2 linked regions of the Sus scrofa genome follow. The protein of the gene in region 2 interacts with the protein of the main gene of each other region in a biochemical or structural test. Links are inferred from orthologs where the notes say so. Each region holds a gene or a part of one and is shown on either strand. Other genes may lie near its edges.

What was found.
Region 1: the proteins of COPS7A (region 2) and COPS4 form a complex in vitro, tested with the Homo sapiens proteins (2 studies listed by BioGRID). The link is inferred for Sus scrofa from reciprocal best matches to the Homo sapiens genes COPS7A and COPS4.

The regions. Positions count from the first base shown.
Region 1 is NC_010450.4:135,296,278-135,308,248, forward strand, and holds part of COPS4 (COP9 signalosome complex subunit 4), read right to left. Parts: intron 11,385-11,971; exon of another isoform or gene 11,265-11,384; intron 8,758-11,264; coding exon 8,678-8,757; intron 5,273-8,677; coding exon 5,121-5,272; intron 4,139-5,120; coding exon 4,035-4,138; intron 1-4,034. UniProt on the Homo sapiens protein: Component of the COP9 signalosome complex (CSN), a complex involved in various cellular and developmental processes.
Region 2 is NC_010447.5:63,969,880-63,982,463, forward strand, and holds COPS7A (COP9 signalosome complex subunit 7a), read right to left. Parts: upstream 7,592-12,584; 5' UTR 7,446-7,591; exon of another isoform or gene 7,333-7,445; intron 7,329-7,332; exon of another isoform or gene 7,193-7,328; intron 6,953-7,192; 5' UTR 6,910-6,952; coding exon 6,748-6,909; intron 4,895-6,747; coding exon 4,819-4,894; intron 4,585-4,818; coding exon 4,496-4,584; intron 2,855-4,495; coding exon 2,652-2,854; intron 2,102-2,651; coding exon 1,996-2,101; exon of another isoform or gene 1,838-1,995; coding exon 1,686-1,837; intron 1,532-1,685; coding exon 1,492-1,531; 3' UTR 664-1,491; downstream 1-663.

The sequences.
Region 1 (11,971 bases), on a different chromosome or scaffold from region 2:
TATCACATTCCACTGGGGGAACTAGGAACATGTACAACCATCCTGGAAAACACTTTGGCAATATGCTCTCCAACCATTCCTTGAGTCCTTTACAATGTGTATATATATATACTCTTAACCTACTATATTCCGCCTCCTCGAGTTCCCATTTACCAGGAAAAGTGGCGCCACCATGTGGCAAGAACAGAGTTTACTACTAACTTGGCCCCAGCTTTGAAATTAATTTTTACTTTTAGAATTTTTATATTAATTCAAATCTTCCATAACTCATATACTGTCAATATTTTGTATTGTATTATTTCTACTCACAACTCATATTTACATAAACTGATATAAACAGCACCATTTTTCTTGTATTTTCATATTTTATGCCAAGTTTATATCTATTACCTTCATAGTCAGAATGAATCTTTTTTTTTCTAAGGGCCATACCTGAGGCATATGGAAGCTTCCGGGCTAGGGATCGAATGGGGGCTGCAGCTGCTGGCCTACACCACAGCCATAGCAATGCCAGATTTGGGCCACATCTGCAACCTACACCACCAGATCTTTAACCCACTGAGCAAGGCCAGGGAGCAAACCCGCATCCTCAAGGACACTAGTCAGGTTCTTAACCCACTGAGCCATAATGGGAACTCCTTAATTATTTTTTAAACAAACAAGTACTCAATAATTTATCCAAATCACTCTAACTTGTTTAGAAAACCACATCTTCAGTTCTCAGTATCCTCACAGATAAGGCTACACAGTATTCTCAAAATGATAATTACCACTACAATGAACAATATCCACTTTACATTTATTTCAACTACCAATGAAAATAAATCATTTGCTCTGTGCTAGGGAGAAACTGCTCCAAAACGGAAGACCAAAGCAATTAAGAAAGCCACCAGCCTTTTCAAACAAAGGAAAAAAACCGAATTAATAAGAAGCCTTAGAAAACAAAATTCAAAATCTACATACAAAGGCTTTTTTACATACTGCCTGCTTTTTCAGGGGCATCACTGCCTAACAATTTCATAAATGCGCAAAAGGCAAGATGCCTGAAGAAGCAGGTGCCTAATGATCACAAATACTAGTGAAGACAAAAAAAGAAGCCTTCATTCACCTGGTAAAAGAGTAGAGAAATAACTGAAAATCTTTTTTAAGTCATTCACAGTTGGTACTTCTTGTACAATATCTTTGGAGGGCTGCTTCATAAAGAACTATAAATATTTGGGAGTTCCTGCTATGGCACACAGGATCAGCAGTGTCTCTGCGGCGCCGGCCTGGCACCGTGGGTTGAAGGACCGGGCACTGCCACAGCTGTGGTGGAGGTCACAACTGTGCCTCAGACCTGACCCCTGGCCCAGGAACTCCATGTGCCGAGGGGCAGCCAAAAAAGGGGAAAAAAGGACGTTTAAAAGTACATATCGAAGGTGAGACTGGCTGAATAAGACAAACTATCATCTTAATTTTTTCATTGTTTTTCCATCTCATTTGCTCTAGTATCATAAACCCAACAACCCACTGAACCCACTGTGACCCCAAACCACTGATCCTACTACACCGTTACTGTTATTCTCCCCCTTAAAGGCCTCCCTTCCCTCCTCACCTGGCCCAACTCCCAAGGTCAATCATTACAATCACTGAGTTGCATCTGCACTCGTCTCCCTTGTCCCTCTCATGCTGTCATACTTGTTGGGCAAAATCGTAATGCTGGTTAAACCTAACAGTCCACCCACCGCTTTCCTGCAACCGCGCAGCTGAACTCTGATGGAGAAAAACGCCCAACCCATCGAACCTGACCTCACTTTTCGACCGTGAAACGGCCTTTAATGCTGCCAAGTGCGCTGTGCATTCCTGGTCCATTCACGGTCTCACTCTCCTAGAGACCTGATCTTCTGATCTCCTCTCCTCGGCCTCACAGTCCCCACCACCACCCACGCCTCCAGCTGATGCCCGATTCCAATCCCACAGTGCCTGCACAAACCCCTCGCCCCATCACCACTACCTGTACCCATGTACTCTGTGTTCCTGCCTGTTATCATAGATCCCTGGGGCTCTTCTGCCCACCAGCGAACATCCAGCAATGTCCACAGACATTTTTGACGGTCACAACTAGGAGCAGTGGTGCTGCTGACATCCACTGCGTGGAGAGACCCCCAATGCTACTAAACATCCTGCAATATACAGGAGTCCACAGCAAAGAATTATGCAATCTAAAATGCAAGAGTGGGGTTCCCACTGAGGCGTTACAGGATCAACTGCATCTTGGGACGCAGGTTCCATCCCTGGCCAGAACAGTGGATTAAGGACCTGGCGTTGCCTCAGCTGAAACAGAAGTTGCGACTGCAGCTCAGATCGGATCCCTGGCCCGGAATGCCGTAAGGAAAAAAAAGAGAAAGCAACAGTACTAAGGGAACGACCCAGCCTCCTATCTGAAGCCTACCCCTCCACTGGATTCCTTCGCCTCTTGCCTCCTCCTGCAGGAATCCTCTAGGAGTTCCCTGGTGGCTCAGGAGGTTAAGGACCCAGCATTGTCACTGCTGTGGCTCGGATCACTGCTATGGTGCAGGTTCAATCCCTGGCCTGGGAACTTCTGCATGCGGTGGCTGCAGACCAAACAAAAAAAAACAATCCTTCCCACTACTCCCCATGTCAAATTTTTGCTTTCCACTCACTCATAAAAGAAAACATAACCTCAGCCGCTGCTGTCACCTCCTACCCTATTTCTCTGCTCCCCTTTATGAAAACTTCCCCAAAGAGCTGATCAGCTCATCACCTCCGGGGCTCCTCCTTCCACTCTCTCTTAACCAACTCCAACGAGGCTCCCATTCCCACCATTTCCCCAAACAGCTTCTGTCAAGGTCCCCAACGACCTCCGTTACTAACTTCCAAGGTTAACCTTCACCCTCCTCTTACTTGACCATCAGCCCCACGCTGGTCACTTGCTCCGTCCTGACACAGTCCCCTCATTTGACTTACAGGACAGTGCACTCCACCCTCTTCCGATTTGTCTTCTTACCCCAGTGGACAACCCTTACCAGCTGCGCCCTCCTCCCGCCCTGACCCCTGATGACAGAGTGCTCACTGCTCAGTCCCCTCACCGCAGCCCCTCCCTCGGCGATCTCGTCCAGCCCGAAGGCTTTAAACTCCGTCTAGACACCAATGACTCCCAACTGTCATCTCTAGTCCAGACTCATAAACAGTCGGCTCTCTACCAGATGCTGCCCCTCGGTTACCACAGGTCCACAAGAGAGCACCTGATCTTCCCTCAAATCTATTCTTCACCATTCAACAGACGGCAACTCTTTTTTCCAATTGTTCGGACCAAAAATCAGAACTTATCTAGGCTCTTTTTCTTATAGTCCATATCCAAGCTGTCAGAAAATCCTTAGCTTTACCTTAGAAACACACCCAGAATCCAGCGTTTCTCACACTCTCCATCTCAGCTGCAGGAGTGCACAGCCTCCTACATCCTGCCCTACAACGTCATTGCAGGTCTACGGTTTACTCTCCACCTGGTAGTTAAATATCAGTCAGGTCACATCAGTCCTCCGCACAAAACCCTCCAATGAGGCCCTGCTGTTTCACTTCGAAAAAAGGCAAAGACCTTACAATGGCTACAAGACCCCCCCAAAGCCGGTCCCAAGTATTCTCTGACCTCAACCTCCCTCGTTCTCCACTTTGCTTACCCGTCCAGAGGTCTCCCTGCCCTTTTAACACACTCCAAGTATGCTCCCACCCTAGGGCCTCTGCACCAGCCCTGCTCTCTAAGAGGCCCTACTGATGCTCTTCCCTCAGACAGCTCGCAGCCACTCCCTCCCCTTCTTCCGGCATTGGAGAAGGCGACCCCAGGACCACCCTACCACGCTGATGACACGGTTTAGTGACACATCCTGTCCCCGACTTTGCCGCCTTTCTCCACAGCACCGCTCACCTTCCAACAGCACAAAACTTATTTACTCAATTGGTCATTATCTGTTTCCTATACTAGAGTATAAGGAAAAAGTGAACAATTATACATATCCATCCAACGTCCACTACTATACTTTTGTCCTGTTTCCAAAGGAATTCCCACCAACACTTGGGCCGCATTTCTCCAATCTTCTTCTTTTTCATATATGGATGCAAGATGCTGTCTTATGGAAGCAACCTGGAATAGGAGGTATACGTGTTAAATTATTTCCACTGATACTAGTAACGCGAAGCCAGAAGATAATCTACTGTGAGAATGCTCGCATTCCACACACGAAGCAGGCAAGTCAACAGTAAGTTCACCTGGAACCCCCGGATTCGTCTATGAATCTTGCATTCAGAGTGTATCAAAATAATGAGCTGATGTGACACATTTCTACAATGCGGATCATGCAGTTATTTAGCTCAAATATCAAGGTTTGCTTTTACGTCGCTGCCTATATGACGGACCTCTCCTATGTTCTTGGCCGAATCAACAATTCTACTGCTGTTTGACAACTGTCTAGAGAGTAACATTTAGTTCATAAAACCAATCGTAGTAAATGAGCAAATATTAGCTGGACGTAAAACATCGTAATATTATTTGAGCTTACATTATAAAATGCTGTTCGGGGAGTTCCTATTGTGGCGCACCAGAAACAAATCTGAGTAGTAACCATGAGGTTTTGGGTTCGATCCCTGGCCTCACTCAGGGGGTTAAGGATCTGGCGTTGCCATGAGCTGTGGTGTAGGTTGCAGATGCGGCTTGGATCCTGCCTTGCTGTGACTGTGGTGTAAGTCGGCAGCTGTAGCTTCGATTCAACCCCTACCATGGGAACCTCCATATGCCATAGGTGTGGCCCAAAAAAGCAAAAAAAAAAAAAAATGTTTGGCACACTGTTTTGTAAAAATGAAACAATGATTATCACCTTTAAAAATGTAACGGCGTCTCTAAAAATAATTGCTGCTATCTCAAGGTCAAAAATCACCACTCTAATGGCCAACATTCTATAATAACCGTAAGTGGAATATAACCTTAACAATTATGAATCACTGTTTTACACCTAAACTTATATATATATAATATTGTACATCCACTATGCCTCAATTTAAAAAGAAAACACATCCTAAACAGATTCCTAAAAACAAAGCAAAACAAAAGTCAGTGCTCTAGGTTTTACCTGCTCCTCAAATGAAATGACTCTAGGCTGGATCTTTTCCAAGGTGAAATGATAGATTTCTTTGGCTGTGCTATCAGGCAGGTTAGGGAGATGTGTGCAGAAATCAGTCAGCAACTGGCGAGAGATCACGAGGCTAACGTTCTCATTTACCACTTGTTAAAAAAAATAAGGGATAAGAAAACATGAGTAATTTATGTGTTTCCATTAAGCAATCCATCTTTACTAAAATTAATACTAAAAATCATATGTATTAGTGAACCTCTCAAAGCATTGTTTAGGGATCTCCACACTCCACACACTCTTATATTACAGAACCAGTTTTCCTTATGCTGAATTATCTGATTACATAACTACAGCAAAACAGTAAAAATACCACAACTTTTCTAAGAAACAGAAATGGCTGGGGAAAAGTTTCAACAGTTGAGAATTTTATATCATTCCTTTCTCTTCTTTATTTCTCTATAAAGTGAAGAAACACTATTACTTTTTTTTTTTTTTTTTGCTTTTTAGGGCCGCACCTGCAGCATATGGAGGTTCCCAGGCTAGGGATCTAATCGGAGCTGTAGCCGCCGACCTACACCACAGCCACAGCAACTCTGGATCCTTAACCCACTGAGCAAAGCCAGGGATCGAACCCACAACCTCACGCTTCCTAGTCGGATTCGTTTCCTCTGTGCCACAATGGGAACTCCGAAACACTGTTACTTTTGTCTCTTTTTTCATTAAAGTATCATTGATTACAATGTTGCACCAATTTCTGCTGGACAGCAGAGTGCCTGGGTTCTACACAGACATTCGTGCTTTTTTACATTCTGCTCCATCATGGTCTGTCCCAGGAGACTGGAAACAGTTCCCTGTGCTGCACAGTAGCACGTTCTTGTTTTTCCTTTCTAAAGGACATCGCTCCGCATCCTCTAACCCCAACTCTTAGTACATCTCTCTCCCTCCCCCTCCCCACTGGCAACCACGAGTCTGTTTCTGTTTCGTAGATAGGTTCGTTTGTGCCACATTTTAGATTCCACCTGTGAGTGATATGGTGTGGTGTTTGCTGTTCTCTTTCTGACTTACTCCACTTATAATAATCCTCCCGTTGCATCCATGTTACTGCGAAAGGCATTGGTTTTTTTTTTTGGTTTTTTTTGTTTTAAAGGCTGCAGCTGAGGCCTATGGAGGTGCCCAGGCTAGGGGGTGAATCAGAGCTGTAGCCTCAGGCCTGCGCCACAGTCACAGCAACCCCAGATTCAAGCCACAGCTGTGACCTTCGCTGCAGCTCGAGGCAACACCAGATCCTTAACCCACGGAGCAAGGCTAGGGATTGAACTTGCATTTTCTTGGATCCTAGTTGAATTCTTAACCCACTGGGCCACAGTGGGAACTCCCATATGGTAATTCTCTTTAGTTTTTGGAGGAACCTCCCACCCACAGCATAGGCTGTTTTTTTTCTCCACACCCTCTCTAGCATTTGTTATTTGTATACTTTTTTTTTTTTTTTTTTTTTTTTTTTTTTTAACAAATTTTTATTTTTATTTATTTATTTATTTTTTTTGTCTTTTGTTGTTGTTGTTGCTATTTCTTGGGCCGCTCCCACGGCATATGGAGGTTCCCAGGCTAGGGGTTGAATCGGAGCTGTAGCCACCGGCCTACACCAGAGGCACAGCAACGCAGGATCCGAGCCGCGTCTGCAACCTACACCACAGCTCACGGCAACGCCGGATCGTTAACCCACTGAGCAAGGGCAGGGACCGAACCCGCAACCTCATGGTTCCTAGTCGGATTCGTTAACCACTGCGCCACGACGGGAACTCCCTGTTATTTGTATACTTTTTAATGATGGCCATTCTGACCAGTCTGAGGTGGGACCTCATTATAGTTCTAAGCTGCATTTCTCTAATAATTAGTGATGTTGAGTAGAAAAACCTATAGTTTCATTTGTGTTCTCATATCCCACTTCACTACAAAAATGAATAGAAAGCGAAATAATTTTCATGATGTTTAAATAGAGCAAGTAGTGACAGTTACTGCCACTTGTACTTTCCCCAAAAAAAGAAAAAATAAGATCTTTGATCAGCACTAGATGTATAGACATATTTCACGATACTGTTTATAAACATTTATGAGGTATGATTACATGTGATGAAGGATGAAGACTCTGGAGCCACACCACTTCCAAACACTCCTGATTATACGCCCTCCAACAAAAAACTTAACCTCTCTGTGCTTCTCTTTCCTCTTCTGTGAAATGTGGATAAGGCTGTCGTGAAGCTTAAGTGCAGTATTTATATAAAGTACTTTAAATAATACCTGGCACATGGCACTTAACACATTCCCGCTGCGTCATGATGGGAACTCCAGAAAACAGTTTCATTAAAAGTGCCGTAGACGCCTATAACTATTAGAAAGAAACCACTATAGGAGTTCCTGTCGTGGCTCAGTGGTTAACAAATCTGACCAGGAACCACGAGGTTGCGGGTTCGGTCCCTGGCCTCGCTCAGTGGGTTAAGGATCCGGCGCTGCTGTGAGCGGTGGTATAGGTCGCAGACAGGGCTCCAATCTGGCGTTGCTGTGGCTGTGGCGTAGGCTGGTGGCTACAGCTCCGATTAGACCCCTAGCCTGGGAACCTCCATATGCCGCGGGTGCAGCTCTAGAAAAGACAAAAAAAGAAAAAGAAAAAAGAAAGAAAGAAATTAGTATACAAACTAGCCTTCTCAGGGAAGTATAAGTAAAAGAAGAATTATAAATCAGAAAATCTAGTTTCTAGTCTGGGCTCTACCACTGACTAGCTGAATGTCCTTGGGAAAAAAGGTCACTTAATCCTGAGACACATTTTAAAATCTATTATACAGGGCTATCTACAGCTGCATTTTCAGTAGAGGGTTATGAAAAGAAGCTGTGTGATACATAATGTATGTGAAAGCACACTATCAAGTAGCATTAGTATTGTGAACTCAGAATAAATTCTCACCTGAATTTTGAGTTTTTTGCAAGATAACTGGGTATGTCTGAAATCAGGGAGTGGGGGAGGGTGTCTGGAAGAAGGGAAATTTCTACTTCCTGCTCGAAAGAAATGTTCGTAACATCAACAAACAGCTAACACTTACCTGGCACTTATCACATGCCAGGCGCTATTCTAAGCACTTTACTACGTATATTAACTCATTTAATCTCCCAACAATTCTACAGGGTACGTATCATACCCCCGTTTTACAGACGAGGAAAAGGAGACACAAAGAGGTTCTACAGCCTACCCAAGATCACACAGCTAACAAAACAGCAGACCAGGACTTGAATCCATTTGTTATATGGCCTTTCATCACTTACTCTGTCAACAACTATACAAAACTTTAACTGTGAATGTAACGATGTCTTCATAGTTCCTGAAAAACAATCCACTGTGAAGTTATAAGTGGCTTAAAGTCTAAAATCAATCAATCTCAATGCATATTTAATCTAACCTCAATGTAAATATATTGACAATTTGATATAAAACAAAGTCTGAGCAAGCTTTTAAGTCCTAACTCAGGAACATGAGGCAAACATGGATTTTTCATTCCACTTACTCGCTTCCACAAAAGCTTTCAAAGCTTCTAGTTGTTCTGCCCCAGATAACTGAATGGCTTTTTCTAGGATCTGACGATACCTAAAACAACACAAAAAATTACAATAAAATAGTGTTCAGGGGTTCCTGTTGTGGCTCAGCAGTAACAACCCCAACTAGTAGCCATGAGGACGTAGGTTTGATCCCTGCCCTTGCTCAGTGGATTAAGGATCTGGCGTTGCCGTGAGCTGTTGTGTAGGTCACAGAGGTGGCTCAGATCTGGTGTTGCTGTGGCTGTGGGGTAGGCCAGCAGCTTCAGCTCCAATTCAACCCCTGGCCTGGGAACTTCCACATGCCTTGGGTATGGCCCTAAAACAACAACAAAAAATAGTGTTTAGAGGGCACCATAGAGTTTAATGCTAACTTTGATGTTTGATGATTTCTGTTTACCCTGGTTTCCTTCGTAGGGCTCTAGTTTGTGATTTTCCTTATGGGATACTTCAGACTTTTTTTTAACTTTCCAGTACATCACAAGAAACCCTAAACCTCTCATTCCAAGTGCCATTTCTTCTAGTCTTCTTTAAAGTATACCACAATTGTTTCAGGTTTCATGCCCATAACAAGAAGAGTCAATCTGTAAGTTACAAGATCTAAGGTGGCCCTTTTTCTTTAAAGTTTTAGTTTTGAATTTAAAATTTCAATCTTCTTTCAAGTGCCTTCCTAAACGGTAAACTCCATGAGGATAGAGATTTTTGTCTTGTTTGCTGCTGTATGTACACAGCTAGAACAGTACATGGCACACTATAAGCACTCAGAAATACACCAGTATTAGTAATACTTCTTAAACTGAGTAATTGCCACATGAGCATGATTCTATTCTTATTCCTTTCGTTATTCTCAATCATAATATTTATTTACTTATTTATCTTCTGGCCATGCCACAACATGTAGAAGTCCCAGCGCCAGGGATCAAACCTACACCACAGCAGTGATAACGCTCGATCCTTAACTCACTGAGCCCCCAGCGACCATCCATAGTATTTACTAAAAGCACTAATTGATGCATTTTACACACCTAATTGCAATTATTCCGAACATTATCCAGAATATAGTCAAGAAATAAAAATATACAAATAGGGCCCAAACTCATTCAAATTTATGACTTGTATTTTGTAGGGCTTATCATCAAGCTACAATTCAGTACTTACTGGTTCTCAGCTCATGCAACATTGTCTGTCACGACCTTGGTTGTATGATTTCTCAAAAGGGCAATAAATCAAACTGACTTTGTAAGAAAGTAGGTAAACGGAGAGAAGAGAGCGCAAATTCCCAAAGGAGAGGCAAATTATTCCAAGAAAGGAAGGAAATACTATCAAGCTTTAAAATAAAAATTACTACTTTTAAAATTGCTACACTTAAGGGATAAAATACACTTATCTAAAAATTCATTTACAGGGAGTTCCCTGGTGGTCTAGTGATTTGGACTTGGTGCTTTCACCACTGCAGCCAAGTTCAGTCCCCGGTCTGGGAACTGAGATCCCACATCAAGCCACTGCACTCTATGGCCAAAAAAAATTAAACATATAAATAAAATTTAAAAAATTAATTTACATGGAATATCACATTCTCTCTATACATACATATATACACACATACATGCACATACATTTTCCATATCTATATTCAAACATTTACTTTATTGCCCTGGACATGTTTTAGTTAATGCATTCAATGGTTTGTTATTTCTTCTTTTGGATTGTCTTATTTTTCATATTCAATTAAATGAAGACTCTAGCTAAACTCTATTACTCTTATATTCCACAAGTTATTTTATACTAATATTATATTCAAAGACAACAATGCCTCACATAAAAATTTGCTAATAACTTAAGTTTTAGCGTATAGTTTCATAACTTATCCATCAATTGGTCTATATGGGGAACACCAAAACAAAAACAAAAACAAACTAAAACAATGGCAAAGATGGAAAAGTGGCTCATGTGGAGAACATGACAAGGACCAAATATGTTTTCATTAAAAAATATTATGGAGGAAAATAAATTGAATTAATGAAGGCAGTTTGCATCTGTCCTATCCATTTATCATCCACAAATGTTTACGGAGCATCTCTGATATCTGTGAACCAACATTCAGCATATCAATTCCCGATGTCTTGGCACTAAAAAGGAATCTAGAGGTGAATGAAACAGACACACGCAAATGTACCACTGTCACTACAGTAAAAACGAGTGTTAACAGGCATGTATTCACAGAGCTTTCACTTATAATCACAGTGAACCAGACACCTGAACCAACCCTATCTCAGAAAGAACATAGGAGGCTGAAAGAAATGATTAAAAAATTGATAGCATATAATTCTAACAAGAAAGAGCAAACACAAGAGACTAAGAGCGCCACGAAGGGAACCCGAGCTGGCGCTGGACGCCTTTGCTGACTGTGTGGAGAGCGGAGGGCAGAGACGACTCTTCTGGCAGCGAGAAACGAGCGGGTCTGCTTAGGGCTGTTCTGCCGCCTGCTAGAAATACCGAGCGTCCACATGCAATTTCTGATGACTAACAAAACTAGAACCGGGATCTGAGGTTTCTTACTTGCCAAGGGAGGAAACACGAGCACTCCGTAAGGTTCCAAATTCTATTCCAAGGATCACTGAGTAGGAAGACCGATAAATGTGGAAGCCTTGGCCCTAGACGGCTAGCATCATCAGGTGCCTGGCCGGAGAAATGAAAATCCTCTCTGAAAGGTAACGTCATAGGCCTCCAGGTGTTTCAAAAATACATTTTAAAATAATTTGCTGAAGGAGTTCCCGTCGTGGTGCAGCAGAAAGGAATCCGGCTAGGAACCATGAGGTTGCGGGTTCGATCCCTGGCTGTGCTCAGTGGGTTGAGGATCCGGCATTGCTGGGAGCTGTGGTGTAGGCCGGCAGCTGTAGCTCTGATTAGACCCCTAGTCTAAGAATGTCCATATGCTGAGGATGTGGCCCTAGAAAGACAAAAATAGTAATAATAATAATAAAATAAAATAATTTGCCCAACACCAAGATTATAAGACACATGACAATATTACCTGGAATCAATAAAAACAAACAATAGCAACAAACAGGAACACTAGATACTGGAGTTATCAGAAAGACTGAAATATGCTTATGCTTATCAAGTTTATAAAGACAAAGACAAGCTTTAAAATTTCAGCGAGAAACTAGGAACCATAAAAAATGTCATTTGGGAGTGCCCATTGTGGCGCAGCGGAAACAAATCCAACTAGGAACCACAAGGTTGCGGGTTCAATCCCTGGCCTC
Region 2 (12,584 bases):
CCAACCACTGCTTCTTACTGAGACCTGAGAGTCCCACGTGGCTTTGATGAGAAAACTCAAGTTTACTATCAACTCTTCCCCCTGTAATTCTATAAGGTGGACAGAAACATGCTGAACTCAAGCTCCTTGAGAGAAGGGACAGTGACCATCATTTTGCACCTCCAGTACCCAGCACGAGCTGATGCCCAGTAGGTATCCGCCGCCTCTGAATGAATGCTGAGACATCAAGCAATCCATCTAAAGGCATGCGGTTCAGGGTCTAGGTTTCCCAACTCCGAGGCCAGGCTTCGGCATGGAGTATCTGGTTCTCTTCTCTTTTTTTTTTGCTTTCTAAGGCTGCACCTGAGGCATATGGAGGTGCCCAGGCTAGGGGTCCAATCAGAGCTACAGCTGCCAGCCTATCCCACAGCTACAGCAACGCGGGATCTGAGCCACGTCTGCAACCTACACCACAGCTCATGGCAACGCCAGATCCTTAACCCACTGAGCAAGGCCAGGGATCCAACTCGCAACCTCATGGTTCCTACTCGGATTCATTTCCACTGCACCGTGATGGGAACTCCTGGTTCTTTTCTCTTTCTAGCACTTTTCTTTAGGATGGACTGGAAATGAGCCTTCTTCCCATCTCCCAGTACCAAAGACAGAGATACCCAGCTCAGGGCATGTTTGTAGATAGACTTCTCATAGATTTATTTCTGTGTCATGTTATATATAGATATATGTATATATACTCTTTTTTTATACACTTTCTATCCCCTTCCCTTCCCCATCAAACTCACAAAAGGAAGTGTAAATCCTTCCGGGACTGCCATCAGGCTTTCTAAGACAGGCCCAGGAAAGAACCATATCGCAATAGCTCGAGAAACAGCAGCCCTTAGGCTCTGGGGACATGGAAGCAGCAGCATTCCCAGGACCCAAGGGGAGGAGAGAGGAAAGGAAACAACTGTAGTGAGATAGGACTCTAGGATGTGTGTGTCCAGGGACTCCTGGGAGGGCCGGCTGGCTCCCAGAACTCTCAGGGTGGAAACAAAGGTGGGAGCCCTAGGGCTCTGGGCAGGCTGCCCAAGGAGACTGGGGCAGGGGCAGGGGCAGGAGTCAGGGTTCAGCATGCGGGGAGGGGGGCGCTGGCAGGACCGACAGGTGTGGGTTATGCTGGAGATGCAACCACCTCACCTACTCAGTGACATGATAAACAGGGACAGATGCTGGCTCCTAAAGAAATAGGGGACAGAGCATGGCAGGGAGGAGGAGGGGACAATGGGACACACAAGAAAGTCACATCAAACAAAAAGTACCAACAAAAACATGACTTGTACTTGCCTCCTCCCTAGAGAAGGTGTCATCTCTGCTTGGGGGTGGGGGAGAGAAGGGCGGGGAGGGGTCATGAACCTAGATTATCAGCTGGCCAGGGGCACAGGAAGGCTCTCTGAGGACTCCTAAGGGGCAGGCAGGCAGCTAGGACCCACATCCGGGGAAGAACCGACAGTCCCTTCAGTTCGACTTGGACCAAATCTTGGCGCTCCCTCGGAGCCTGGCAAGGGGAAGAGAGAGAGAGAGGATGCAGGGACCCTCCCAGGCCCTGCCAGCTCCCCTGTTCCCTAGCCGTGTGCAAAAGACTAGAGGGGAGAGGGAGGAGCAGAAGCAGGGCACCCCATAAGCGAGCGGCCCCCACCACACTGGCTCACCCCTTGCCCTTCGAGGCTTTCTTGCTGGGCTGGCGCTGGTTGGTGCCAGGAGCCGGTTCCCTCAGCTCCGTCAGGTGTTGCTCGGGATCCTGAGATGTGGCTGCGGCAGCGGCTGCGGTAGTAACTTTGATGGTTTTTTTAAGGTTGGCGACCTACCAGAAGGAAAGGAAGGAAACCAAGGAAGGTTCCAGAACCTGGCGGTCCCTGCCCAACGGGTCTGCCTGCTACAGCACCGGTCCAGACCCCTCTGCCCAGGACAACCAGCCGAAGCTGTGGGAGCTCGGGCCGGCCTGCTCCCCTGCCTGCTCACCTCACTCTCGATCTGCTGCTTCAGGCCCAGCTGCTGCTCCTTGTGCTGGTTGGCCCGGCTCACCTGCTCCTCAATGCCAGAGAGCACCACCTCGCAGCCCACACACCTGCACGAACCGGCGGGAGGAGGGTCAGCAGAGGGCTGCGAGCACAGACTCCCGAGACGGACACAGAGACACCCCGAGACCCGGGCAGCCGGAGCCCTGTCTGCGTTAGAAGCCTCGCCTGGCCCCGTGGAAACCACCTCAACGAGATCCCCGGGAGCCTTAAGGACACTCCGGTAGGCTAAGGGAGGAGAAAGCAAGTGCCTGGAGTGATGGGCGAGGAACTAAACCCACAACGGGGCAGGACGTGCTCCAGAGGAAGAAAAGAAGCTGTGTTAACGAACCCAAGTCAGATAAGAACACAGAGAAAACAGAAGTGAGAGAGGCCCAAGGCCTGTGGACAGCGCTGGTCATACTGCATCCTGCCTGGCCCACCCCCCAGGGAGGATCCCCTCAAGAGGACCCCCCCTTCCTCCTCCCAGTTCCTCTTCAGGCTCCTGGGGGGTGCCTCTGCCGCCCAGCCACCCCCCCCCCCCACCCCCGGCCTCCACCAAAGCAGCCCTCCCTTCTTGGGGCCAGCAGAGGAGGGACAGTGCCGGGACCCAGGTCTCACCACTCCTGCAGGGTTCGGGCAATGGCACTGAGGTCCTGGCGCTGGATGTCCCGCCCGATGCTGTAGTCAACCTCCAGCCGCTGGTTGCGCTGGTCCAGGGAGCCGCGAAGCACGTCGGCGTACACGGCCTCGATGACCAGGTCCTCCAGCTGCCGCACGTTCCGCAGGGCCAGGGCCTCCAGCAGCACTGCATATGGGATACACTGGGGCCCGGAGGTCGGGCTGCGGTCTGTGAGGTTCCGCACAGAGAAGGGCTTCCAAGATTCTTCTTCCCTCCTTCCCCCACTGCCCGCCCTCCAGTCCTCCTCCTCAATCACTTTCCGTAAAAGGCAGGTTCTAAGGCAAAATAAATGAAAGTATTCCCACCTGATAAATAACATCCTAAGAAAGAGAATCGTTCACATTTATGTATTTATGACTGTTGTTGTCTTTTTTGACGGCCCCACCTGTGGCACAGAGGTTTCCAGGCTAGGGGGCAAATCAGAGCTGCAGCTGTCAGCCTACACCACAGCCACAGCAACCCCGGATCCGTGCCGCATCTGCGACCTACACAGCAGCTTGTGGCAACGCCAAATCCTTAACCCACTGAGCATGGCCAGGGGTTGAACCTGCATCCTCACAGACACTATGTCAGGTTCTTATGCCACTGAGCCACAATGGGAACTTTTTTTTTTAATATTATTTTCCTTTCTGCAACTTTTTTTTCAGGCACACCCACACCATGGGGAAGTTCCTGGGCCAGGGATCAAACCCGAGACACAGCAGGGAACCAAACCTCAGCACTGGCAACGCCTGATTCTTACCCTGCAAGGCTACTGGAGAACTCCAAAAAGGACAATCTTAAGGAAAACATTTATGCTCCCCTCAATGCCCAGCCCACCACAGGGTGACATCTGCCTGGGTGTCAACCCTCTGGCTCAGCTCAGGACAGTACACGGATGTGGTCAAGACGAGCTTGACCTACGGGACGCTGTGGTGGAGGAGAGGCTGGAGCTCTTCTGTTTATCATTTATACACGGTCTCCTTCCAAAGAGGCAGTGAGCCTGATTTAAGCCAAACCATGGGGATGATGGGAGAGTCAGGGAACAACTGGGAGATGCAGATGGGCAAACAGTTAACAAGAATGGAACCCAACAGGAAATACAAAGATGCTTCTGGGTTATGTATTTTTTATTCAAGCAAATAGAAGCCTGCTACGTCACCAGGAGCGAGTGTGTCCCAGCTCTGGCCACTGCAGCTGCTTCCACGGACTTCATACAGTGGGAGGAATGGGCTGAGGAATAACACAGTGAGTGGCATCCTAGCTGCTATTCTGACCTGACACACAAAAGATGTTTTACTTAGAACATAAGTGGGTTGAAAAACAAAATAGAGGAGTTCTGGTTGTGCCACAGCAGAAATGAATCTGACTAGTAACCAAGAGGTTGTGGGTTCGATCCCTGGCCTTGCCCAGTGGGTTAAGGATCCAGCGTTGCCATAAGCTGTGGTGCAGGTCACAGATGTTGCTCGGATCCTGCACTGCTGCGGCTGTGGCACAGGCAGGCAGCTGTAGCTCTGCTTCGACCCCTCACCTGGGAACCTCCATATGCCGTGGGTGTGGCCATAAAAAGCAATAAAAAAAAAAAAAAAAAAAGAAAAACAAAATAGAAAGCTGGGAGAATAACGTTCCACCTAAAGGGCCACAGGTATCAGAGTAAGACACAGACCTTGGAGGAATGTGGGGAAACAGGAAGAAGCACCACTGTGGTCAAAGCTGTCCCAGTGCAATTCCCTTCAGATGGGCCCTTGTGAAGCCGACACAAAAAAGTGCTCCCTGGCTCAGGACTGGGGGGTCTGTCACTCACCTTGACCTTGGCAGCCAGGGTGACAACTGACAGGTGTCTAAGCTTATTCTTCTGAGCCTCTGTGAGTGGGGGAAGATTCCGGGCTTCAGCTAGAAAAAAAAAACAAGGTATAGAAAATCCTGATTTCACTTGTGTGGGAAGCCCTAGCCTCTCTCCTCTTGATTTTTCTTTTCTTTTCTTTTTTTTTTTTTTTTGAGTTTTCTGTGCCAATTTGGGTCTTGACCTTGACCCTGTACCTATGGGATCTAAGTCAGGTATCTCAAGAATTTCTTCTACATAAACTGCCCATCTCCCATCTCCAGAGTTCCGGCCCCTCCGGATACCTAAGTAGTCAGCGTATGTCCCATAAGCAAACACCGTGAGCAGCCGGAACGTGGAAGCGAAGTCACTCTCAGCCAGCTGCAAGAACATGAGGGGAGAGAAGAGGTGAGTGGAGGGGCCTCTCTCTCCACCCTCCCAGCCCTACCCTGTTTGAATTCCACTTTCTGGACCCAGCTTTCCCCTCTAACAGGAGCTCTCACAGCAGCTCACCGACAGCAACCCTCTGCCTCTCTGATCACTCTTCCCACAGCAAGGCCTCATTTCCACCTCCAGGCCCTTGTTTATGCTATGCCCCCAATCCACAACGCCCTCTTCCTCCATCTGCCTCCAATTCCTACCCTCATTCAGGGCTGAAAACTTTCAGAGCGTTTATGTTGCAAACTATGTTGTTTGGTCCTTAAAGAGTATTTAACATTTCCAATTTTGAAAATCTTTAGGGAATCTGCTGTATTACCTAAGTCACCAACAACTTCTGCCTCAGCCTCACTCCCCCGACAGCTGTACGGTCTGGGCAGGCCCTGGGATCTGTGGTCTCTGCTTCAGCCCAGCCTCACCCAGGAGCTTTCATTACCCACTCAGGCCAGCACAGCCTCCTCTCCTCCCACCGCTGATCATCCACTAAGTCAAAGCCCACCTAAGGTTGTTACCTAAGGGTATTTTTCAACAAGGTCACAGACTCAGCCTCTTATAATCCACTTAGGTCTAGCAGAGATGTGCATGTGATTGGCACTGCCACTAAACACTTGCTAAATAAATGTCTTATTCATGGATATCCATCCATCTTATCTCTGCAACTGGAATGTAAGTCTCAGAAGGGGAGCACTGTATCTTGTACTCTTCTGGTATTCCCAGATGACCAGTAGGGTTTTGGCAGGTTTTTTAGGGAGGTTCCCAGGCTAGGGGTCGAATCAGAGCTGTAGCTACCGGCCTACACCACAGCCACAGCAACGCCAGATCTGAGCCGCGTCTGTGACCTACACCACAGCTCACAGCAACACCAGATCCTTAAGCCACTGAGTGAGGCCAGGGATTGAACCCACATTCTCATGGATACTAATCAGATTCATTTCCACTGAGCCACAATGGGAACTTCAACTAGCAAGGTGTTAAACAGGCACCCAAAACATGGTTCTTTTTTTTCACCTTGATTCTTTTTAGTTCCACTGCAGAGGACATCAGGGAAAGAAGGCAGCCAGCTTTCTTCAGACCAGAAGGTTCCCCAAAGGCTAAATCCACTGAATCACTGACCCTCAAAAGCGTAACTCAGTTTGCCCACCTACCATTGTTATACCATCTTGGGGGTTGGGTTGGTGACATATATCTTGGCAACCCACTCACTGTGGACTTCAAACTCAACTCTGCCACTTCTGTGCGAACAGTTCTGTGTTCCTAGCATGCTGCTATGTGTCTTTGGGAAAAAGACACTTTCTACCTACTCTAACTGAAGTGAATTAGCATATGGTGCAAAGGGGGAGAGAACAGAGCATGCCAATTTCACAGTCAGTTATTCCATTTGTACCAGACTTTACTTTCCCATAATTTCATCTGATTCCTACAAGAGTGAGGGATTGTATCAGGAGCATTTTTTTAAAAGAGAAAATTTAGGGCCTAAAATTAAAGAAACCTGATCAAGATCATATGATTATTAAGAGCTATTACACTGATAGAGACAGGCTGGAATCAGGTCTCCTACTCTGAATCGCAGGCTCTTTGTTCAAAAATGAAAAATACTCAGTTTTACAGATCATTCATCCTCAAAGGGAAACTAAGAGGTTTACTTGCCTACTTATTTCTGCAAGCTGTTGGTTAATTATTACCATATTCTTGTTTAACTGTATGGTCATGGGGTTGCGAAATAAGCCCGGGCCGCCTGTTCTCAAATTCAAACTTTAGTCAAGCTGCCCTGTGGGCTACCCAGGTCAGGAACCCACCTCTCTAACATTAGGCATATCCAGCAGTTCCCCAAACACGTAGACACCAGGGGCCTCCAGCACCTGGTGGATGAGTGTGGCCAGCGCTGCCCCCTTGGCCGACTTCGCCAGGAGCAGGAATTGCTCCTGGTTCTGCCCTGTCACCTTCACCTCCGCACTCATGGCTGCACTGAGCTGGGGGGACCTGGGCTCAGGAAGTCTGGAGCTGCAAGGAAAGAGAATGTGAAGGCGAAGTTCCTTGAACAGGGGAGGATGAAAAGCACAAGAGATAAGGGCTGGACTGGAGACACTGAGCCACTTTCGCAACAATAAAGTTCGCTCTATCTCGCAACCCAGAGATCGAGCAGTCTAACATCGGACCTAGGAACCCTAAAATCGGGCACTTTGAAGGAAGCCTGGCTAAAATCCGGCTGCCACGCCCACCTCCCCCAACCCTGGGCCTAACCTCAAGCCCCACCACGTGCACCCCAATGAACCCCAAGGCACAAGTCGTAGTGGGGGAGGTGATGTCACATAGTATCCACCGGGACGACGCTCCCTCAAATCCACAGTACCCCGCAGGTGCCCCGAACCACGTGACCTCACCCTCGCGATCCTTCCACGTGGCTCCGCCCCCTCCCTTAAAGAGGCCGCCCAGGGACCGTGGGCTCCCGCCGACTGCCTCGTCGTACTCTGGGTCAGACTCCGCGGGCCGCTACCTGGAAGCTTCTTCTTCCAGCGCACTGGGCGGGGCCACCGCTCCGTCACCTCCGGCAGCTGTTCCCAGCCTTTCCTGCCACCTCCCTGCACGGTCGCTCTGGCCCCTAAACTCTATGGCTGGCTTCCGGCCTTACTTTCCGCTCTCACGGGGCGGGTTTCAGGCGGGACATGCTCCGTCCCCGCCTCCGACTGATGAAGATCCCAAGAGCGACGCAGGCGTTCTGCTCTCTGATTGGCTCTTGCGGAAAGAATGACGGGCGCCCTTTCCTCGGCTTTGTTTCAATAAAACTTTATTGGACAAGCGCAAGAGGCTGTTTGCAGAGGGAACTCTTGGCGATAGCCTGCTACCGGCTAGTTCTGCGTCAGCTTCAGGCTGGCTGAGGTCTGAAAATTTGTCAGAGTTCCCGAGGCAAGAGAAAAGCTGTAATCGAAAGAGAGGGGGATTTAAAAAAAAGAGAGGGGAGTTCCCGTCGTGGCGCAGTGGTTAACGAATCCGACTAGGAACCATGAGGTTGCGGGTTCGGTCCCTGCCCTTGCTCATTGGCTTAAAGGATCCGGCGTTGCCGTGAGCTGTGGCGTAGATTGCAGACGCGGCTCGGATCCCGCGTTGCTGTGGCTCAGGCATAGGCCAGTGGCTACAGCTCCGATTTGACCCCTAGCCTGGGAACCTCCATATGCCGCGGGAGCGGCCCAAAGAAATAGCAGACAAAATAATAAAAAATAAAAAATAATTAAAAAAAAAAGAGAGGGACATAAGGAAAAAGGTGGTGTGAAACGAGGAGGAGAGAGGGAGACCATAGAAGTTGAGCTGCAGAGATCGTCTCATTTTTATTGCAACCACTCATTTTTTTGGAGGAGAAAGAGACAAGTGTGGAAACGGTAAATAGTAATAGCTAACACGTATTGAAGGCTTACTGTTGTTCAGGCATCTTTTAAAATTAAAATTTGACCCATTGAATTCTCATAACTGTACAGTGTCTCCATGGTGTTTCCAGGACGCCATCTCTCATGTTTGCAAATGTACTGAATGATGCATTCCTGTACATTAACCCTTTTGATTCCTGGAGAAGGAAAAAAAATCCTAGCTGCAGGGAAGGCATACATTGAAGCTCATAAAAATCCAGAGTTTTGGAGTTCCCGTCGTGTCGCAGTGGTTAACGAATCTGACTAGGAACCACGAGGTTGCGGTCCCTGCCCTTGCTCAGTGGGTTAACGATCTGGCGTTGCCGTGAGCTGTGGTGTAGGTTGCAGACGCGGCTCGGATCCCGCGTTGCTGTGGCTCTGGCATAGGCCGGTGGCTACAGCTCCGATTGGACCCCTAGCCTGGGAACCTCCATATGCCGCGGGAGCGGCCCAAAGAAAGCAAAAAAACGAACAAACAAACAAAAAATCCAGAGTTTTATTTGGAGCCCATGTCTATTCGAGCCTGGAGCCATCTTTCCAATTTACCACAATACTTTAGGGGGCAAAAATAAACAACTAACCTTTTCGTAGTGTTTTGTATCTCCTACCAGGCTTACAGAAGGTTAAATCAGAGCAATGTTAATGATATCTTGGAGGCACTTGTATGAGGCACTGAGCTAACAGCTTTACCTAATTCATTTGATGCGTGTAAAAAGTCCATTATTATTTCCATTTTCCAGATGGGAAAAGTGAGGCTCAGAGAAGTGAAATAATTTATATGTAATGGAAAGAGGAGAAAGGGAAAGACGTCGTTAAATGAAGAGAAAAATCAGAACTGGTAGGCTGCTGGAGCTATTGCTGAAGGGACTTTAAGCTCAAAGTTTATTTGTTGCTTTTTAGGGCTGCACATGCAGCATATGGATGTTCCCAGGCTAGGATCCAATCGGAGCTGCAGCTGCTGGCCTACACCACAGCCACAGCCACGCCAGATCTGTGAACTACACCACAGCCTACAGCAACACCCGACCCTTGACCCCCTGAGCGAGGCCAGGGATTGAACCTGTGCCCTCATGGATGCTAGTTGGGTTCTTAACCCACTGAGCCACAATGGGAACTCCTCCACCATAGTAAGTTCAGTTAATATCTATCATCTCATATATATATATATATATATATATCAAAAAAAAAATTTTGTCAATGTGATGAGAACTCTTAACTACTTTCAAATCTGCAATACAACAATGTTAACTAACCACTATACCATACATTATGTTGTATATTACATCATTAGTACCTATTTATCTTATAACTGGAAGTTTGATACTTTTTTTTTTTTGTCTTTTGTCTTTTTAGGGCTGCACCCGTGGCACATGGAGGTTCCCAGGCCAGGGGTCTAATCGGAGCTATAGCTACCAGCCTACACTACAGCCACAGCAACACCAGATCCAAGCCACATCTGCGACCTGCCCCACAACTCATGGCAATGCCGGATCCTTAACCCACTGAGCAAGGCCAGGGATCAAACCCGAAACCTCATGGTTCCTAGTCGGATTTGTTTCCACTGCACCATGACGGGAACTCCTGGTACACTTATTTTTATTATTTTCAAAAATTTTATGGAAGTATAGTTGATTTACAATGTTGTATTTCTGCTGTACAGCAAAGTGACTCAGTTATACAAATATATTCTTTTTAATTTTCTTTTCCATTACAGTTTATCACAGAATATAGAATATAGTTCCCTGTGCTATAGAGTAGGACCTTGTTTATCCATTCTACATATAATAGTTTGTCTCTGCTAATCCCACATTCCCAATCCTTCACTCTCCCAACCCCCTCCCCCTTGGCAACCACAGTCTGTTCTCTATATTGTGGGTCTGTTTTTGTTTCATGAACATGTTGATTAGTGTCATCCATATAAACTTTAGAACCCGTTTGTTGATATCCCTACAATAATTTCCCGCAATTGTGGTTGCAATTGTATTGAGTCTATAGGTCAAGTTGGGAAGGAAACTGATTTTTTTCTTTCTTTTTAGGGCCACATCTGCGGCATATGGAAGTTCCCGCACTAGAGATCGAATTGGAGCTGCAGCTGCAGGCCCTGGCCACAGCCACAGCCTCAGCAATTTGGGATCCAAGCAGCATCTGCAGCCTATGCTGCAGCTTGCAGCAATGCTGGGTCCTTAACCAACTGAGTGAGGTCAGGGGTAAACCTGCATCCTCACAGAGACAACCTGGGGTCCTTAACCCAGTGAGCAACAATGGGAACTCCAGGGAAGAACTGATGTTTTGACCATATCTTTTTATCCAGATATGTGGATTGTTTCTCCCTTTAATTAGTTCTCTGATTTTATTTATCACAGTTTTGTAGTTTTCCTCATAGATCTTACACATGCTTTGTTAAATTTATACTTAAGAATTTCACATTTTGGAGTCGCTCAATGACATTGTATTTTTAATTTCAAATTCCACTTGTTCATTGTTGGTTTACAGTAAAGCAGTTGACTTTTATATATTAACCTTTGGGAGTTCCCGTCGTGGTGCAGTGGTTAACGAATCTGACTAGGAACCATGAGGTTGCGGGTTCTGTCCCTGCTCTTGCTCAGTGGGTTAATGATCTGGCATTGCCGTGAGCTGTGGTGTAGGTTGCAGACGCGGCTCGGATCCCGCGTCGCTGGGCTGTGGCGTAGGCAGGTGGCTACAGCTCTGATTCGACCCCTAGCCTGGGAACCTCCATATGCCACGGGAGCAGCCCAAGAAATAGCAAGAAGACCAAAAAAAAAAAAAAAAAAAGAAATCATATGTATTAACCTTTGGATCCTGCAGCCTTGCTAGAATTGCTTATTGGTTCTAGGAGGTTTTGTTGTTGATGCTTTCGGATTTTCTACATAAAAGATTTCGTCCTCTATGAACATATTTTATGTCTTCCTTTATGAAGATAGTTTTATGTCTTCCTTCCCCATTTTTATACCTTTTATTTCTTTTCCTTGCTTTATTGCATTAGCAGGGATTTCCCGTACAATGTTAAAGGAAGTGGTGAGGGGATGTTCTTGCCTTGTCCCTGATCTTAGAAAACTTCGTGTTTCTCCCTATTATTCATATGATGTTAGCTGTAGGGTTTTCTTCTTCTGTGTATGTTGTTGTTCAACTTGTTATTTATTTAATCTTTACAACACACCTTTGCGGTGCTTGTTAATATCTTTGTTAACTTGTGAAGACACTGAGAATCACAGAAGTTAAATGATTTGTTGAAGGCCGCCACTATAAGTGATGGAACTGAGACCCAAATGCAAGTTGGATGCCAACACTGTGCTAGGAAAGAAAAGAAAAAGCAGAAATGAAAGACAGAGGAGGAAGAAAGGGATAATCTGAGATCTTGCCCTAATTCAGCTTTACACTAGCTGTGACCTTAAAGCAAATTGTGCCATCTTGTGGTGTCCCCTTTTCCGTATCTGCAGAGTGAGAGATTAAGGCCAGTTCTGATTCTGATGTTTTATGGTTCCCTGAGAGAAAGAGGAGTAAGAGGAGGAAATGAGGGAACAATTAATATGCAGAAAAGGAGAATTTGGAGAAAGAAAGGAGAAATGATGGACTAAAGAAGTAAGATTGGGAGTTCCCGTCGTGGTGCAGTGGTTAACGAATCTGACTAGGAACCATGAGGTTGCAGGTTCGATCCTTGCCCTTGCTCAGTGGGTTAACGATCCGGCGTTGCCATGAGCTGTGGTGTAGGTTGCAGACGCAGCTCGGATCCTGCGTTGCTGTGGCTCTGGCATAGGCTGGCAGCTACAGCTCCGATTGGACCCCTAGCCTGGGAACCTCCATATGCCGCAGGAGCGGCCCAAGAAATGACAAAAAGACAAAAAAAAAAAAAAAAAAAAAAAAAAGAAGATTGAAAGGCAGACAGAGGAGTTCTCCGTGGTGGCGCAGCAGAAAGGAATCTGACCAGGAACCATGAGGTTTCGGGTTTGATCCCTGACCTCGCTCAGTGGGTTAAGGATCCGGGATCGTGGTGAGCTGTGGTGTAGGCCGGCAGCTGTAGCTCCTGGGAACCTCCATATGCTGCGAGTGCGGCCCTAAAAAGGCAAAAGGAAAAAAAAAAAAGGCAGACAAAGGAGAAGAGGGATAAATGTGAGGAAAAAAAAAAAAAAAAAAGAGAGATGAGAAAAGAAGAGGGGCAAGTGGGAAGAAAAGAAGATCTGCGGGTGGGAGCAGAGGTCAGGGAGAAAGAAAGAAAG